3 linked regions of the Arabidopsis thaliana genome follow. The protein of the gene in region 3 interacts with the protein of the main gene of each other region in a biochemical or structural test. Each region holds a gene or a part of one and is shown on either strand. Other genes may lie near its edges. The genes, in order: VIT1, SEU and AP1.

What was found.
Region 1: the proteins of AP1 (region 3) and VIT1 interact in a test that uses a peptide from one of them, tested with the Arabidopsis thaliana proteins (one study listed by BioGRID).
Region 2: the proteins of AP1 (region 3) and SEU form a complex in vitro, tested with the Arabidopsis thaliana proteins (one study listed by BioGRID).

Annotation. Positions count from the first base shown.
Region 1 is NC_003071.7:334,088-338,438, forward strand, and holds VIT1 (vacuolar iron transporter 1), read right to left. Parts: upstream 2,376-4,351; 5' UTR 2,339-2,375; coding exon 2,085-2,338; intron 1,653-2,084; coding exon 1,567-1,652; intron 1,476-1,566; coding exon 1,361-1,475; intron 986-1,360; coding exon 688-985; 3' UTR 576-687; downstream 1-575. Other genes in the region: RR14 (response regulator 14), read left to right, coding at 26-427; AT2G01780 (Curculin-like (mannose-binding) lectin family protein), read right to left, coding at 3,937-4,142, 4,206-4,277, 4,311-4,351. UniProt on the Arabidopsis thaliana protein: Vacuolar iron transporter involved in the transfer of iron ions from the cytosol to the vacuole for intracellular iron storage. Involved in regulation of cellular iron homeostasis. Vacuolar iron storage is required for seed embryo and seedling development.
Region 2 is NC_003070.9:16,615,069-16,622,578, forward strand, and holds SEU (SEUSS transcriptional co-regulator), read left to right. Parts: upstream 1-1,919; 5' UTR 1,920-2,424; intron 2,425-2,543; 5' UTR 2,544-2,803; coding exon 2,804-3,769; intron 3,770-3,853; coding exon 3,854-3,973; intron 3,974-4,125; coding exon 4,126-4,174; intron 4,175-4,263; coding exon 4,264-4,478; intron 4,479-4,565; coding exon 4,566-4,634; intron 4,635-4,877; coding exon 4,878-4,975; intron 4,976-5,070; coding exon 5,071-5,164; intron 5,165-5,360; coding exon 5,361-5,430; intron 5,431-5,575; coding exon 5,576-6,528; 3' UTR 6,529-6,981; downstream 6,982-7,510. Other genes in the region: AT1G43860 (sequence-specific DNA binding transcription factor), read right to left, coding at 7,176-7,510. UniProt on the Arabidopsis thaliana protein: DNA-binding adapter subunit of the SEU-LUG transcriptional corepressor of the C class floral homeotic gene AGAMOUS during the early stages of floral meristem development.
Region 3 is NC_003070.9:25,981,786-25,988,266, reverse strand, and holds AP1 (K-box region and MADS-box transcription factor family protein), read left to right. Parts: upstream 1-1,917; 5' UTR 1,918-2,164; coding exon 2,165-2,349; intron 2,350-3,329; exon of another isoform or gene 3,330-3,515; intron 3,516-3,691; coding exon 3,692-3,770; intron 3,771-3,870; coding exon 3,871-3,935; intron 3,936-4,028; coding exon 4,029-4,128; intron 4,129-4,359; coding exon 4,360-4,401; intron 4,402-4,487; coding exon 4,488-4,529; intron 4,530-5,008; coding exon 5,009-5,163; intron 5,164-5,331; coding exon of another isoform or gene 5,332-5,368; exon of another isoform or gene 5,369-5,588; coding exon 5,589-5,691; 3' UTR 5,692-5,973; downstream 5,974-6,481. UniProt on the Arabidopsis thaliana protein: Transcription factor that promotes early floral meristem identity in synergy with LEAFY. Is required subsequently for the transition of an inflorescence meristem into a floral meristem. Is indispensable for normal development of sepals and petals in flowers.

The sequences.
Region 1 (4,351 bases), on a different chromosome or scaffold from region 3:
ATGACTGAATCAATACCATTTGCAGAAGTTCCGATTGTATTTGAAGAGATTAAGCGGTGAAGCTTCGCAGAGTAATGACTCTGAGTCTACCAAAAGATATGAAAACATTCAAGCTCTGGTTTCCTCAGGACAATTACATCCACAGACATTAGCTGCATTGTTTGGTCAACCAATAGACAATCATCACTCTGCTAGTTTTGGAGTTTGGATTCCTAATGACAATCTTGGTAGATCTCAAAATGAACACTTCTCGGTTGATGTATCATCCGCTTCTAACCGTCCTGTTTCTGTGGCGGTTCATGGTCTATCTTCCTCAGCAAATTTCAGACAGAGAGGTGACGTTAACAACAACAGAATCAGACAAGGGTATGGATCAAATGTCAATGAAGAATCTTGGATCTTGGAAAGATCTTCAAGACAAAGATAGTGACCAATATGGATACGCTTAAGAAGAGAAGGCTCTGCAACTGTTTCTTTTAAATCTTCAGGAATGGATTAATGTCAGAAGAAAACTTGTGTGTCTGCAATGTTAGCTTAGGAAAGTAATTATGTAACCAATATTTTGAATTGTTATCTCTCACTTTATTATGGTTGCCAAAAGTTTTAGCCTGATAATAACCACAAGACATGCAACAAACAAGTCTCAAAGTACACAAAACATCAAACGCAACACTAGTTTTGTTACTGCTAATGTTGCACAACTTTAGCCAAACAAAAAGCAGCAGCTGAAGCAATCGCTCCTATAAAGGCGGTTTCAAACGCACTTCTGAGGGGCTTGCTTCCAGTGAAATGCCCTTTTGCATAGCCAAATATGAAGAGCGCAAACAGAGTTATAACCACAGACGCCACTACCGCATCCATGGCATGCGGTATGAGCATGTAGGGAAGTAACGGTATAAAACCGCCAAGAACATAAGCGATTGCAATCGTGAACGCGCTTTGTAACGCTCTTTTTGGATCAGGCTTCTCTAATCCCAGCTCAAACCTGTAACGAAACAATAAAGTCTCACTTATATAACAAGTTACATGCTTATAGTAGGAATATAAACATTTTGTGATAGGTAAAGAGTGTTAAACTTAACCAAATCAATAAGATAAGTTTTTATATTCACGTAATTTGTTGTTTTCTGTTTGTTACTATTCACGTACTTTATTTGTTGCAACAAAAAAGATTAAAATTGGAAGTCGGACCATATAAGAATCTTGCCCACACCTGGAAAGTATAAGCTCAGCTTTTGCAGAAATCTAAAAGTATCCCTCGATTTTCTCTTTAATTAAGACTATATAATATACATAAAATAATACTAATGGACTATATAGTATACATAAAATAACACTAATTTTCATTAGTGAGACTAACCTCATCATAAAATCAAGCCAAGCTTGAGGATTCTTACGAAGAGCATTAACTACAGGTGAATATTCATGTGGCTCTATCCCGTACTGTGCCAGAATCTCTGCCACTTCAGCTGCCTCTGTTTTAAATCCATATCGTAATTAAAATGTGTTAAACCGGATAATTTTCTTATATATGGATGGCTTAGATTGAGTGTAATTTGGTCTTACCAGTTTCAGGAACGGCCACGATCTCTTCTTGTTCTCGTTTCATCTCCCTCGCGTAATGATCTTCTTCGCTCTTTGCCGCTAAATACCTAAATTTGTTATCCAGTTTTTAATCTTGCATTGAACTCATATAGTTATAACTCACTACTTTTCTTACAATATGATTACTCAAGAGACTAACTAAATATGAATTTTTTTTTTATTACATATGGATGCATGCATTGTATATGATCATGGTAACATGGTTGCATGATCTAGGACTATTTTTGTTTTGGTAAATTAGTCTAGGACTAATTTAAACCCAACAAAATTATGTGGGACTTACGTGTAAATTTAAACAAATTAGTATTCCATTGAACAACTTTTATACCACAACTTTATCATACGTTATTTATGTTAATGTGTAGTAGTAATTACACCACAAGTAGGAAATGAATCATCATTTGCATGTAGCCATTATTTCAAAACTATATAGAGAGTTTACGTGTCAATTAAAACGGAACTAGTAAAAAGAGAAGTACCCGCCGAGTCCCATGGAGATAGCACCGGCCGCGACTTCGGCGATTCCAGCGGTAAGGACTATAGAAGAAGAAGCATTGGCACCGGAGAGACCGGCGGCGAGGGCAAAAGGAACGGTTAAACCATCAGAGACGCCGATGATGATGTCACGTACGATTTCTCCGGCGGTGAAGTGTTTCTCGGTGTGATGATCGAGAAGTGTTTGCTTCTCCGGTTCGATAGAGATTCTTGTAATCTTATCTTCCTCCGACGACATTGTTGATGATCGATTCTCTTTCTCTCTCGTTTTTTTTCTTTCTCAAAGTTGTGAAGTGTGTGTGTGGGAACATGATATATATATATATATATATATATATATATATATATATATATATATATACGTAAAGAACGAGGGGAAACATATCATCACATCATATTAGTTATTTTGTAATTTGGTTTCAAATTTACTTAAAAAATTTTCCTATGAGTTTCATTTAAGTATAATATATATCATATTATTTAATTATTGATTTGTTACCATTATTTATAAGAAAGCCATAAAAGAAAACACTAAGCAATATGCCCACAAGTAGTTTCCATGAGTTTGCAATTAAAGTGTGTCAAATCCCTTACATATTAATTCAAACACATATTTTAAAGGAAAACCTTTATACTGTAAGTAAAAGTATTTAATCTTATAAATATTATTCCAAGTTATTTTCTAATATAATGAAGAGAAAGTAAATTGTATATTAATCAATTTTTAAATACGCTTTATTAATCAATTTTTAATTACGCTAAATCTAAGAGCATCCACATACCTTATACGTATCATTTTTTTTCCGTGTTCATGTTGAATTGAGCATCAAATTAAGTATCTTTAGAGTATTGGTGCTGTTATGCGCAAATTTCCAATAATCAAATTACGGATGAACAATATCATTATACCTACTCTAATGTTATTTTTCGCTTTTAATTAAACCATGTCTTTTTTTTTCCAACATGGAACCATCTCATATGAGTTAATTTTAACCGCGAGAAGTCTTGTGAGTTGTGACCTCATCTGTAAAACTTTATTCACCGATTAAGATCCTATATATGCTTTCCACACAAGTTCTATAAGACAAGGAGAAATAGGTTTGAGTTTTGAACTTTTTGATCAGAACTTCAGATAAAATTGAGCGTGTTTGCCACATGCTTTGCCCACGGCATGAAGCTGGCCATATGTATGCATTTTCTACGTGGACACGATAAATTTTCTGAAAATATAAAAGAAAGTTATATGAGAAAGCAACAAATCTTATATGAGTCTGCAAAAGAATAACGCATGAGAAAAAAGCTAATTTACATGAAGCCATATGCAACGCTCCAATTCACACACTTTCATGTTTTTCATCTTTAACTTCTGTGACCATTTATCAGATTATTAGAAACATTCAAAGTCTCATTTGACACATAACATATAACGAGAATGTTATATCATCAGCAAATTCCCAATGTTCACACGGTTACAAAATAGTTACAGTTGGGTAAATGTCATCTTCATTTTCTATATAATTAAGTATTAGATTGATCCATTTAAAAACTTTAGTTTAGCTAATTAAAATACAAAACCAAAAATATAATTAAGAAACTAATCTGATGTTTTATAATTTGATATAAGTACTTCCAAAAACTATCAACTAATTTGGTTGTTGATGTTTTCATTCTTGGAATAAGATAAGGAATTTTTTAAGATTAAAGTAAAAAATATTATTACTTTTGATATGTAATTAAATTAAATGCGTTGGACACTTTTTGGATACATAATTGGTTTTTTTTTTTTTTTGAAAACACATTATTGGGTTTCTATTAGTTAGTTTTGGATAAATATTATTACTGGTGCCAAGAACCAATCCATCTCTCTACTGTCTGGTTCCATGTCAAGCGCTGTAAAATTCCGGGAGGGCTTAGGTTCAATCTTGTGAAGATGCTGTCGTTGTAAGCCGTGAAACTGACCTCTTGTATGTCAGCTATGTAAATTTTATCACTTAGAAAAGTTTTATCCATTAGACTCTGTTCTTTTTGGTCATCCAAGGGGCCTGGTGGTACTAGAAGATCTTCATACATTTTGGTGGTATTCAGAAAGAGGTTAATAGAAGAACCAGTCCCGTACAGTCGGCCCTCATAGTTAGAAACGAAAAGCTCAGGGAAGCTTGAGGCAACATATTCCTCTCCTCATCTTTTAGGTTCGAGGTTTAGCGTGTAACTCGATTTGGACGGATTATCAGGGGTTTCCCACGCCACCAAA
Region 2 (7,510 bases), 9.4 Mb from region 3:
AATACTGTAAGAATATGTGAGATTTTCTAGTTTAAGATTGGAAATATCTAAGTGTTGGGTGAAAATCACAAGAGGAATTATTGTATTAGATTGTGATAATAAGTGGAATTATTAATTTGCATTTGACATGATATATGGATATAAATTGTAAGACGACAGATTTTTTAAAAAGTTATTCTAATCAAACAAGTCACCTTCAATAACAATTGATTAGAACATACCGCGTCATATAGTAAAAAACCTTTAAATCATATGTTAACATTCTCTTCTTCTATAAAGTAACATCAAATAGTTACTACAATGAGATATACAACAATCAAGTATGGTATTTAGGGTTTAACGTAAGATTTGAGAGATATGATTTATGCAATGACATCCAAATTTGATAGATATTGAGAAGATATAGAAAAAGCCAATAAAATATTGATAGTGGCTAAAATATTTGATCATTTTCATATAATGATATTTGCATTGTTTAGCTTTAAACTTATACGTGGATAAGGTAATCTAAAGTGTGAGAAATAATAATTTGCTGATAAATATTTTGTAGAGATAATTTGAGTATAGTGTTTGATAGACCAGTTTAAGTCTACAATCTTCTTTCTGTAAATGAGTTGGAAACATATCAAAAAGACGAGTCAGATATACTCAACCATGTTTTAAGGTAGTAAAAATAAATAGATCAAAATATTCAACCATGTTTCCAATGGCAGGAGAAGTTCTTGCAATACCAATATCTTTGGCTATATATGAGTCTGTTTTTTTAACCATTAGTGATTGTAATTTAAATCAATATAAAAGCTATTTGGTTTGTGGTGTTGTTAAACCGGGTGAAGCACTCTCTCAACTCTTTATACATATTTTTTCTTTTTGTTGACTAATAAATTTAACATTTTAACACACAAAAAAATGCTTTTGACTTAAAATTGGTTACATGCATTATTAGGTTCAGAAAAAATGAGGTATTTAAGATTTATATTCAGCAATGGTTCATATATATGCTCTCATGTCTGATTTTTTCTTTTAAATATATTTATGTTAGAAAATGATCTGCAACACATCAGACTAAAAAACTGAATTATTTTTTTTATATATTTTCTAATATTAATAGAAAACGGTTTATTAAACAAATGAATATGCAAATACTCTAAACCGTGAGAATTCCTTGTGGAGTTTCATTTGTATATAATATTTATTTTCTTTGCTTTATAACTTTAAAATACCATCATGATTATTATAGTTCAGCTTCTATGTAATGAAACCATGTAGACAATAAAATAAAGAAAATAAGAAGCAGTTTTTATTATCTAAAAAGCGTAGACAAAAATAATTAAGAAAACTTGAACAAAAGAAAAAAGATAGAAAGTTGAGACGAAAAAGAATATATAAGGGGAATGGGAAAAAAAAATCATCTAAGCAAGGGATGAAGATCAAACTCGAGTTGTTTAATCTCATACATAAATCCGCTTTCAAATTAATTTTATGTTGTCGTTCCATAATTATATTTTTTCTTAAAAATAGTCTTGTTTTCCATTCTCTCTCTCAAACCAAATTTACACATTTAAATAAACTTTAAACAGAAAAACCACTATTAATGTAGTAATATATTAAATATTGATATATTTCTATATCAAATTTAAAACTAAAACCAAAAAAAGAAAGAAAAATTTCTATATCAAATTTAGAACTAAAAACAAATAAAAATAGTGTCATTTCCATTATGTTCTTTTAAACCAAACTTTACATTCTAAGAAAAAACACTATTGATGTGTATATTAAACTTTTGATATCTTTCTAAATCAAACTTTTCTTAAGGTATTTAAAAGTGATAGTATTCTGAATGGAAAAATAACAATTTAACACTAAAACCAATAAAATAAAGAGAAAAATGTTTGTGGCTAACAAAAAAAAAAAATCCAGATTGTGATTACAAAAAAAAAACATTTCTAGGGCATGTCATTGACTTCCTTTGAAGAAGAAGAAGAAGAGAGAGAGAGACTGAAAAAGAAAAAGTAAGAAAGGGAATGAAATAAATCCGATCGAATACAATTTTGACGTCCGCAAGGACACTATTCTCTCTCTTCTCATCTTCTTCTTTCTCTCTTCTCTCTCTCTCTCTACAGCGAAGAACAGGACACAAATTACTCTGTGAAGCTTAAAAAGGTATAATTTTTAATAAAACCCAGAAACTACAATTTCTAGGCGGCAGAGAAAATTTGTTTCTACTTCTTTTTGTTTCTCTTTGTCTTCTCGTCTCTTTATCCCCAAACCCATCAATAAAAAACCCTAAAAGACTTCAAATTTCTTCAAGATTTTGTTCATCGGAAGTTTTCAGATTTTTAGTTGTGTAAAGTCTCTTCCTTTTTGTTCGATTCTCTTTGTTTTGAGTCTTATCAGAGACTTATTCTTCAATTCCACCTCTGGGTAAGTTTCTATAGATTCTCACTAGTAATCTCTGTTTTTTTTCTCAATTAGGGTTTGATCAAAGTTTCGTTTTTTTCTTTCTGGGTTTGTTCTTAACATTATGCTTTTGTTTTGTTAAGGTGGTGAGAGTTGGAAATGGAGTAGATTTGCTTAATTTAGATCTGTAAGTAATCAACAGACAGTGTTGTTTGGTTCTAGAATGTTCGATACGGAATCTCATCACTCAGATTCATCTCTTTCCGTGGTGTTTACGACTCTGAAGCTTATCATTGCTCAGAAAGAATACGTCTTTGCTCCTACACAGAGCTGAGTTTTATAAAGTCGTCAGTTTTGTTTCTTGCTTTCTTTGTTGATTGTGGAGTTGTGAATTAGTAAGAGTATGGTACCATCAGAGCCGCCTAATCCTGTTGGGGGTGGTGAAAATGTTCCGCCTTCGATATTAGGAGGACAAGGAGGAGCTCCTCTTCCTTCTCAACCAGCATTTCCTTCACTTGTCTCTCCGCGTACTCAGTTTGGTAACAATATGAGTATGAGTATGCTTGGGAATGCTCCAAATATATCTTCTCTTCTCAATAATCAGTCTTTTGTAAATGGTATCCCTGGTTCTATGATTTCTATGGATACAAGTGGTGCTGAGTCTGACCCGATGTCTAACGTCGGGTTTAGTGGTTTGTCGTCTTTTAATGCGTCGAGTATGGTGTCTCCGCGCTCATCAGGTCAAGTTCAGGGTCAGCAGTTTTCGAATGTTTCGGCTAACCAGTTGTTGGCTGAGCAACAACGGAATAAGAAAATGGAGACGCAGAGTTTTCAACATGGTCAGCAGCAGTCAATGCAGCAGCAGTTTTCGACAGTGCGTGGTGGTGGATTAGCAGGTGTGGGACCTGTTAAGATGGAGCCTGGTCAGGTTTCGAATGATCAGCAGCATGGTCAAGTACAACAGCAGCAACAGAAAATGTTGAGAAACCTAGGGTCAGTTAAGTTGGAACCGCAGCAAATTCAGGCCATGAGAAATTTGGCCCAAGTGAAAATGGAACCTCAACATTCTGAGCAGTCATTGTTTCTCCAACAACAGCAGAGGCAACAACAGCAACAACAACAACAACAATTTCTTCAAATGCCGGGGCAATCTCCGCAGGCTCAAATGAACATATTTCAGCAGCAGAGACTTATGCAACTTCAACAACAGCAACTCTTGAAATCTATGCCTCAACAGCGTCCTCAATTACCACAGCAGTTCCAACAGCAGAATTTACCTCTAAGGCCACCTCTGAAACCAGTGTATGAACCTGGCATGGGTGCTCAGCGTCTTACACAGTATATGTACAGACAACAACATAGGCCTGAAGTAAAGCTTCTTACCATAAATTTAACTTCTTTCAGCCTATGGCTTTTCTTCATAATTGACATTTGTGCTTGCTATTAAATGCAGGACAATAATATCGAGTTCTGGAGAAAATTTGTAGCTGAGTACTTTGCTCCTAATGCCAAAAAGAGATGGTGCGTCTCTATGTATGGCAGTGGCAGGCAAACAACAGGCGTTTTCCCTCAGGTTGGTTTACTGCTCAATGAACTTATCTTGTTTGTAATACAATTGTAAAGGAGCTTGTCTTTTGCACCTGAGCCAGTTATTCTGGATAAATTACGTACTTGTTTCATGTTATACCTCTTTACATGAGTATTTTTATTCCACAAACATTGCAGGATGTGTGGCACTGTGAGATATGTAACCGAAAGCCTGGACGTGGTTTTGGTATGTTATTTAGATGATCAGTGCAGACAATTTCCTGTACATCTTATCAAATATTCCTTCCTTACTGCTTTGTCTCTTTCATTGTTTAGAGGCAACCGCCGAAGTCCTTCCGCGGCTGTTTAAGATTAAGTATGAGAGTGGGACGTTAGAAGAACTGTTATATGTAGATATGCCAAGGGAGTCCCAGAATTCATCTGGCCAAATTGTCCTGGAGTATGCAAAAGCAACACAAGAGAGTGTCTTTGAGCATCTTCGGGTTGTTCGTGATGGCCAACTTCGAATAGTCTTCTCGCCAGATCTTAAGGTTCTTCAAGCTACTCTATCTTTCGCAGCAAATTATTATACTATTACTTTCTCTCCAAGCCCTTTATTCTTGTAAGTTCCTTCTCAGATATTCTCCTGGGAATTTTGTGCTCGGCGGCATGAAGAGCTTATTCCACGAAGACTTTTGATACCGCAGGTAACTTCCAGAAAGATTCACCATATTGCTCTGACATATAGTTATTTTGGAGATGCGGCCTTTCCTTTTGTCACAAAATTGGATATGCTGTCTTAATATTATTCTAGTCTGCTTTTCTTTGCGAAATCGTCACTTTACCTTTCATCTTTTGTGGTTTCCAAATTTCAATAGGAGTAGAATATTACACATCTAAATCAGTGAAAACAGCTTAGGTAAATTAGCTATTTTTGTATTCACATACAGGTTAGTCAGCTTGGATCGGCAGCTCAGAAATATCAACAAGCTGCTCAAAATGCAACAACAGATTCTGCTCTTCCGGAGCTACAAAATAATTGCAATATGTAAACTTCCTCTCTTTCGCTGTGAAATTGATGTAACAAATCCTGTTATTCGACTTTTGATTGGTGATCTCTGATGTGCTGCAACTGGTCTGCAGGTTTGTTGCATCTGCTAGACAATTGGCAAAGGCCCTGGAAGTACCACTTGTGAATGATTTGGGATACACAAAGAGATATGTTCGGTGTTTGCAGGTAAATAACTAATGTCTCAATATGGATCAAGTGAACTCTACAATCTTGCTTAAAACTTAAGATTCTTGCCATCAATGAAAATGCAGCTTTGAAAAGGATAATACATAAAAATGAAATAAACTTAATCAATCTTTGTATTTAGTCTGTCCCTGTGACCATGTTTGCCAATGCACATTGATATTTTGCAATATTGTAGATCTCAGAGGTGGTAAATAGTATGAAGGACCTGATAGATTATAGCAGAGAAACACGAACAGGACCAATCGGTAAGTTTATGTGACCACCTTTTAATGCATTTGGTATTTTTAATCTTGAAGCACCTACTCTTTTCGTTCATGTATTATATCAGAACTTCATTGTACATATTCTCCGGTGATTTGACTGATGTCATGTTTTCTTTCTTTGGTACAGAGAGTTTAGCCAAGTTTCCTCGGAGAACAGGCCCTTCATCTGCACTGCCTGGTCCTTCTCCTCAGCAAGCCAGCGACCAGCTTAGGCAGCAGCAGCAACAACAACAGCAGCAGCAGCAACAGCAACAACAACAACAACAACAACAGCAGCAGCAGCAAACAGTTTCCCAGAATACAAACAGTGATCAAAGTAGTAGGCAAGTTGCACTAATGCAGGGTAATCCAAGCAATGGTGTAAATTATGCCTTTAATGCAGCCTCTGCATCCACTTCCACCAGCAGCATCGCAGGGCTCATCCACCAGAATTCAATGAAGGGAAGACATCAGAATGCTGCTTACAATCCTCCAAACAGCCCCTATGGAGGAAACTCTGTTCAGATGCAATCACCTAGTTCCTCGGGTACCATGGTGCCATCATCATCGCAGCAACAACACAACCTGCCAACATTTCAGTCTCCAACATCCTCATCTAATAACAATAATCCCTCTCAAAACGGGATACCATCTGTTAATCACATGGGTTCCACAAACTCACCAGCAATGCAACAGGCAGGTGAGGTTGATGGAAACGAGTCTAGCTCGGTGCAGAAGATACTGAATGAAATCCTGATGAACAACCAAGCTCATAATAATAGCTCAGGAGGAAGCATGGTTGGGCATGGGTCTTTCGGGAATGATGGGAAGGGTCAAGCTAATGTAAATAGTTCTGGTGTTTTACTGATGAATGGCCAAGTGAACAACAACAACAACACAAATATTGGAGGTGCTGGTGGGTTTGGTGGTGGGATTGGTCAATCCATGGCAGCAAACGGAATCAATAATATAAACGGTAACAATAGTCTCATGAACGGAAGAGTTGGGATGATGGTGCGGGATCCAAACGGTCAACAGGATTTAGGAAACCAACTTTTAGGAGCAGTGAATGGTTTCAACAATTTTGATTGGAACGCGTGAAATGAAGAAGAGGAAGAAGAGACACTGAAAGGGTAATGTTCTGCTTGCGCAGCATCACACATCTTCAAACTCAGGATAAGGATAGGCCAATAAGCCGTGATATTGTGCTTAAGAAAGGAAGAGTCAAATCTTTGTATCAATAACTGGTTTCTAGGTCACCTCCACAATCACCAATACCATCTCTTGAGTTACTGTTTCTTTTTTTACTTTGGGGAGTTTTTCTTATGCTTTATAGTTTATAATGTACATCTTTCTATCGGTGTGTGTTCCTTAGGGCACATCATCAGGGAGGCAATGAATCAAGCTCTATCCTTCATTTATCTCTCTGGTCTCTTCCATGTGTTAACCAAACTTCCCTAAATTCTGACCACAACGTTAAATATGTGCAATGCTCTTGAACGATGCTGATCGGTCATGATTTTTTGTTGTTAGTGCAATGAAATACCACAAGCCGTACGATGTCTATTGTTTGGTCACAGTTATTAATCAAATACCAAATATCCAAGCTTGTCTCTTAAACACAAGTTTTTACTCTTAAAGTTTGCGCAAAATTTCATTCCACAAGTTTTGTGTATTCATACTCACATATGACTACGAGATTTAACACATTGACAAAATTAAAAGCACAAAAGGAGAAAATTGTAGTTTCAGAAAGAGTAGTCTTTCAAATCTGCTCTAGAGTCGTCCATGTCAATCTCAGACATGCATTCGTCAGCACTAATAGGAGGGAGTTTCCGAGTCTTACGCTTAAGGTTGTGTTTGTGCCAATCACTCTTACAGTGCTCTCTGTATTGCTTAGCCTCTCCAACGAACGTGTTGCAAGTGCTGCACTTGGTCCCCTTCTTTTCTTCTCCACCTTCTTGCTTTATGTTATCTGTAGTACTTATCTCTTGCTTCTGCAGTTTCTTGCTAAGTTCAACGACGGGATCGGTCAAATCCTTAGTCTCAGTCTCAGCAGGTAACAACGGCTTGTGGGTTTGCA
Region 3 (6,481 bases):
ATTTGGTTTACTACTGAAGATAGAGATTACGTCCTTCTAATTAGAAGTAATTAATTATTTTAGTATTTGGAAGCTAATGGTGGAGATGTAACCGTATCTTAGTGGATCGAGATATTGTATATAAAATATGTATGCTACATCGAATAATAAACTGAAAGAGAGTAAAAAGGGATATTTAATGGGAAGAAAAGAAGGGTGGAGATGTAACAAAGGCGAAGATAATGGATATTCTTGGGATGTTGTCTTCAAGGCCACGAGCTTAGATTCTTTTAGTTTTGCTCAATTTGTTAAGTTTCTACTTTTCCTTTTGTTGCTTACTACTTTTGCTCATGATCTCCATATACATATCATACATATATATAGTATACTATCTTTAGACTGATTTCTCTATACACTATCTTTTAACTTATGTATCGTTTCAAAACTCAGGACGTACATGTTTAAATTTGGTTATATAACCACGACCATTTCAAGTATATATGTCATACCATACCAGATTTAATATAACTTCTATGAAGAAAATACATAAAGTTGGATTAAAATGCAAGTGACATCTTTTTAGCATAGGTTCATTTGGCATAGAAGAAATATATAACTAAAAATGAACTTTAACTTAAATAGATTTTACTATATTACAATTTTTTCTTTTTACATGGTCTAATTTATTTTTCTAAAATTAGTATAATTGTTGTTTTGATGAAACAATAATACCGTAAGCAATAGTTGCTAAAAGATGTCCAAATATTTATAAATTACAAAGTAAATCAAATAAGGAAGAAGACACGTGGAAAACACCAAATAAGAGAAGAAATGGAAAAAACAGAAAGAAATTTTTTAACAAGAAAAATCAATTAGTCCTCAAACCTGAGATATTTAAAGTAATCAACTAAAACAGGAACACTTGACTAACAAAGAAATTTGAAACGTGGTCCAACTTTCACTTAATTATATTGTTTTCTCTAAGGCTTATGCAATATATGCCTTAAGCAAATGCCGAATCTGTTTTTTTTTTTTTTGTTATTGGATATTGACTGAAAATAAGGGGTTTTTTCACACTTGAAGATCTCAAAAGAGAAAACTATTACAACGGAAATTCATTGTAAAAGAAGTGATTAAGCAAATTGAGCAAAGGTTTTTATGTGGTTTATTTCATTATATGATTGACATCAAATTGTATATATATGGTTGTTTTATTTAACAATATATATGGATATAACGTACAAACTAAATATGTTTGATTGACGAAAAAAAATATATGTATGTTTGATTAACAACATAGCACATATTCAACTGATTTTTGTCCTGATCATCTACAACTTAATAAGAACACACAACATTGAACAAATCTTTGACAAAATACTATTTTTGGGTTTGAAATTTTGAATACTTACAATTATTCTTCTCGATCTTCCTCTCTTTCCTTAAATCCTGCGTACAAATCCGTCGACGCAATACATTACACAGTTGTCAATTGGTTCTCAGCTCTACCAAAAACATCTATTGCCAAAAGAAAGGTCTATTTGTACTTCACTGTTACAGCTGAGAACATTAAATATAATAAGCAAATTTGATAAAACAAAGGGTTCTCACCTTATTCCAAAAGAATAGTGTAAAATAGGGTAATAGAGAAATGTTAATAAAAGGAAATTAAAAATAGATATTTTGGTTGGTTCAGATTTTGTTTCGTAGATCTACAGGGAAATCTCCGCCGTCAATGCAAAGCGAAGGTGACACTTGGGGAAGGACCAGTGGTCCGTACAATGTTACTTACCCATTTCTCTTCACGAGACGTCGATAATCAAATTGTTTATTTTCATATTTTTAAGTCCGCAGTTTTATTAAAAAATCATGGACCCGACATTAGTACGAGATATACCAATGAGAAGTCGACACGCAAATCCTAAAGAAACCACTGTGGTTTTTGCAAACAAGAGAAACCAGCTTTAGCTTTTCCCTAAAACCACTCTTACCCAAATCTCTCCATAAATAAAGATCCCGAGACTCAAACACAAGTCTTTTTATAAAGGAAAGAAAGAAAAACTTTCCTAATTGGTTCATACCAAAGTCTGAGCTCTTCTTTATATCTCTCTTGTAGTTTCTTATTGGGGGTCTTTGTTTTGTTTGGTTCTTTTAGAGTAAGAAGTTTCTTAAAAAAGGATCAAAAATGGGAAGGGGTAGGGTTCAATTGAAGAGGATAGAGAACAAGATCAATAGACAAGTGACATTCTCGAAAAGAAGAGCTGGTCTTTTGAAGAAAGCTCATGAGATCTCTGTTCTCTGTGATGCTGAAGTTGCTCTTGTTGTCTTCTCCCATAAGGGAAAACTCTTCGAATACTCCACTGATTCTTGGTAACTTCAACTAATTCTTTACTTTTAAAAAAATCTTTTAATCTGCTACTTTATATAGTTTTTTCCCCCTTAAGTTGACTACTTGATTTGCCCTAATTATTCACTACTGCTTTTGTTTATATATTTTCTAGGGCTTCCATTTTTGGATTTTTTGATTAGCCAGAAAAATGTTTAATACAAATTTGTATAATTTAAAAATCAAAACTTTAGGGCCGTAGTGAAGTGAACCCTAGAACACACTAATTATACCATAGTAATTACCTTGATATATTGTGCAATATTTATCAGCATCATATCTTCAAACTCAAGAGCATATAGAAGGGTGTATGTTTAATCTTTGAACTAGGGTTTTGATCCCTAACTCATAATGAATTCTTTTGTTCTCCAATAGCCATGTCTTTCGAATTTGCAGATCTAAGCTCTAATTGATGCCATAGTAAGAAAATAAGATCTGTAGTTTTCACTCGCTCACTGAGTTCGAGTTTTAAATGAAGTGTCGTTTCTTTTTTCATATATAAGTTGCAACTGGATTATAATTAAAAAATATTATGGGACGAGAAAATAAATTAAAATAGATATAGATAATAATGTCAAATTGAGAATTTTTTATTAGAAAGAATATTTAACTTACGAGTTGTTTTTTTTCAGCTGTAAAAGAATATCTAATTTGTTCTCACGACTGTGTCTTCATGTTTTGCAAATCTAAGCAAAGAAAATGTTTAAACTCGGATCTTAAGATTATGAACTCGTAATATAAAACACTATATAGTATTAAATTTGAACTAGTGTTGCTTCTTTTTCTATTTGACTTTAGAAATTAAAACTGAAACAAAGATGTCAAATCTGAGTAGGGAGTCTTTGACCTCTGGGGATCCATAAAAAGAATTAACTCCATCCTAAAATCGGCTTCTTACCGATGGTCAAACTTAGCTCCAACAAGCAACAGCTGTTCTTCTTTTTTTTTTTTTCTTTTTTTTTTTAAGCATTGTCCTTGTTCTGAAAAAAAATAAGATTGGTAAATTGGCAAGATTATAATAATTTATTATAATGTGTCGCATCTAAGAAGATTTTCTGTACCTAATTGTAGCAAAATTAAAGAAACCGCAGTTAGAACTCGAAGCTAAGAGCATAGGGTCTATGATTCATACTGTTTTGTTATTATAAAGGTATCATAGAGATCGGTACTTGATTTGTTATAGGAAATCTTGGTTTAATTGCATAAAACCATCATTAGATTTATCCTAAAATGTGATGATATTTTGGTTACATCTCCATATTATTTATATAATAAAATGATAATTGGTTGATGATAAAGCTAACCCTAATTCTGTGAAATGATCAGTATGGAGAAGATACTTGAACGCTATGAGAGGTACTCTTACGCCGAAAGACAGCTTATTGCACCTGAGTCCGACGTCAATGTATTTCAATAAATATTTCTCCTTTTAATCCACATATATATTATATCAATCTATTTGTAGTATTGATGAATTTTATTTGTATAAAACTTCTGGTACACAGACAAACTGGTCGATGGAGTATAACAGGCTTAAGGCTAAGATTGAGCTTTTGGAGAGAAACCAGAGGTACACATTTACACTCATCACATTTCTATCTAGGAAATCGATCGGGTTCCATTTTAAAGTAAGTTAAAATTCATTGATGCTATTGAAATTCAGGCATTATCTTGGGGAAGACTTGCAAGCAATGAGCCCTAAAGAGCTTCAGAATCTGGAGCAGCAGCTTGACACTGCTCTTAAGCACATCCGCACTAGAAAAGTATTGCCTTCTGCTATTTCGTTGAACATATCTATATAACTTAAACGTTTACAAGTGTTATTATAATGTGAACATTGAAATACATATGTGTATGTATCAATATATATATCAGTAATCAATATCAATTTGATATGTCTATAGGTTGGTTCGAATGTATGAGTTATGTTGTGTATTTTAAGACTCATATTACTTAAAGTAATGGGTTGTTAATGTTGATGTGTGTGTATGCAGAACCAACTTATGTACGAGTCCATCAATGAGCTCCAAAAAAAGGTATGTAAAACCCCTATCAAATGTATGTCTTATAGAGAAACGTATAGGAAAGCTAATTAACAATCGTGCCGTTTCGGAAATGACAGGAGAAGGCCATACAGGAGCAAAACAGCATGCTTTCTAAACAGGTAACACATGTCATCATTTCTCTTTCATCAACATGTTGTCCATTGCATTACTGTTACCTTCCACTGTTCTGCTCCACACTTCCAGCCAAGCTATACCTACGATATCTTCATATCTCCACTTAACTTCGGCACCATTAAATAAAAATAGAAAATCTTTGCAAATTGTTTGAAATAGCATAGATGTTGTCTATTGATTGATATAATCACCAGCCTGTACGTAGATATGGTTTGTCCGTTTAGTTTTAAGGTTGTCTCTCGGATTGAAAATATTTGAAACTTTGAAATGTTGTCCCATCATTCTACTTAGCTCATATCTATGTATATGAATATAGACACTACTCCTAATTATAAAAATGTTATAATAGTTCATTGCATGAGTGCAACTGTGAAAATAACTATTTGTAACCATTGCATATATATAGTTTCTTCACTTTGAAAATTGATGATGATAATATGGTTTGAAATAAATTTGCTGGCAGATCAAGGAGAGGGAAAAAATTCTTAGGGCTCAACAGGAGCAGTGGGATCAGCAGAACCAAGGCCACAATATGCCTCCCCCTCTGCCACCGCAGCAGCACCAAATCCAGCATCCTTACATGCTCTCTCATCAGCCATCTCCTTTTCTCAACATGGGGTAACAAAAAATTACTAATCAGTCTTAATTTAAAGCACATATGTTATGCAAGCTAGTTACGTTAGGTGTTGTAATTTCATTGAAGTTATAGCTGTTAGTGATGGTTACATGATGTCATGATTTTGAAACTAGAAAACTTTATTTTAAAACATTATTTTATTAACGTAGGTTAATGCAATGGTCGCCAAACGAACAAACTTATTAGTGTGGAAAATGTACATGGAATGGTTGCGAAAAGCCTAAGTCGACTTTTTGTTGTTGTTGGTCTATGTGTTTAAGTACAATTTTAGTTTGTTAGATAAATGAAATTAATATATCTTTGACATTTCACAATGGACTGATATTTGATTTTCCTTTGTTGTACGGTGAAACATATGATTACATATGCACTTTCATATATATCCTATGTATGATTGTGAATGCAGTGGTCTGTATCAAGAAGATGATCCTATGGCAATGAGGAGGAATGATCTCGAACTGACTCTTGAACCCGTTTACAACTGCAACCTTGGCTGCTTCGCCGCATGAAGCATTTCCATATATATATTTGTAATCGTCAACAATAAAAACAGTTTGCCACATACATATAAATAGTGGCTAGGCTCTTTTCATCCAATTAATATATTTTGGCAAATGTTCGATGTTCTTATATCATCATATATAAATTAGCAGGCTCCTTTCTTCTTTTGTAATTTGATAAGTTTATTTGCTTCAATATGGAGCAAAATTGTAATATATTTGAAGGTCAGAGAGAATGAACGTGAACTTAATAGATCGGACCTTTTTTTTTTTTTGTTGCATTAAGTTAGGAGTGGCAAAATTTCTTATTATTTCAAGTTTACAACAAGCGAACTTGAGTGGTTGGGCCGTATTAATCGGAATAGAACCCAATTAGAATCAAGGAAGGATGTTGGCCTATAAAGGCCCAGAATTTGCTTCTAATTAGATAAGATAGGCAATAATAACAGTGCCTCCGAATGGATGAGGATCTGTAATGTAACACCCTGGTAGTCTCTCTGATACATTTGTTTGATTAGTGATCGAATAATTAGTGTGTATTGACTTGTTTCATGGAGCTAAGGACACGAGACTTACAGTAAAGGGACCAGTGAAAATGCCCACTAAGGTTCTTAAGATATATCACCACCAGAAAGGCACGTTGTGGTAAGCGTAACTCTCACATTATCTTCTCTTCATCTACATTCAGTAAAATGTTGCTAAACTCAAGAAAAGGCACGTTGTGGTAAGCGTAACTCTCACATTATCTTCTCTTCGTTGTATTCCTGCTAATTTTTTTAGAAAACAATTTCTGTATTAA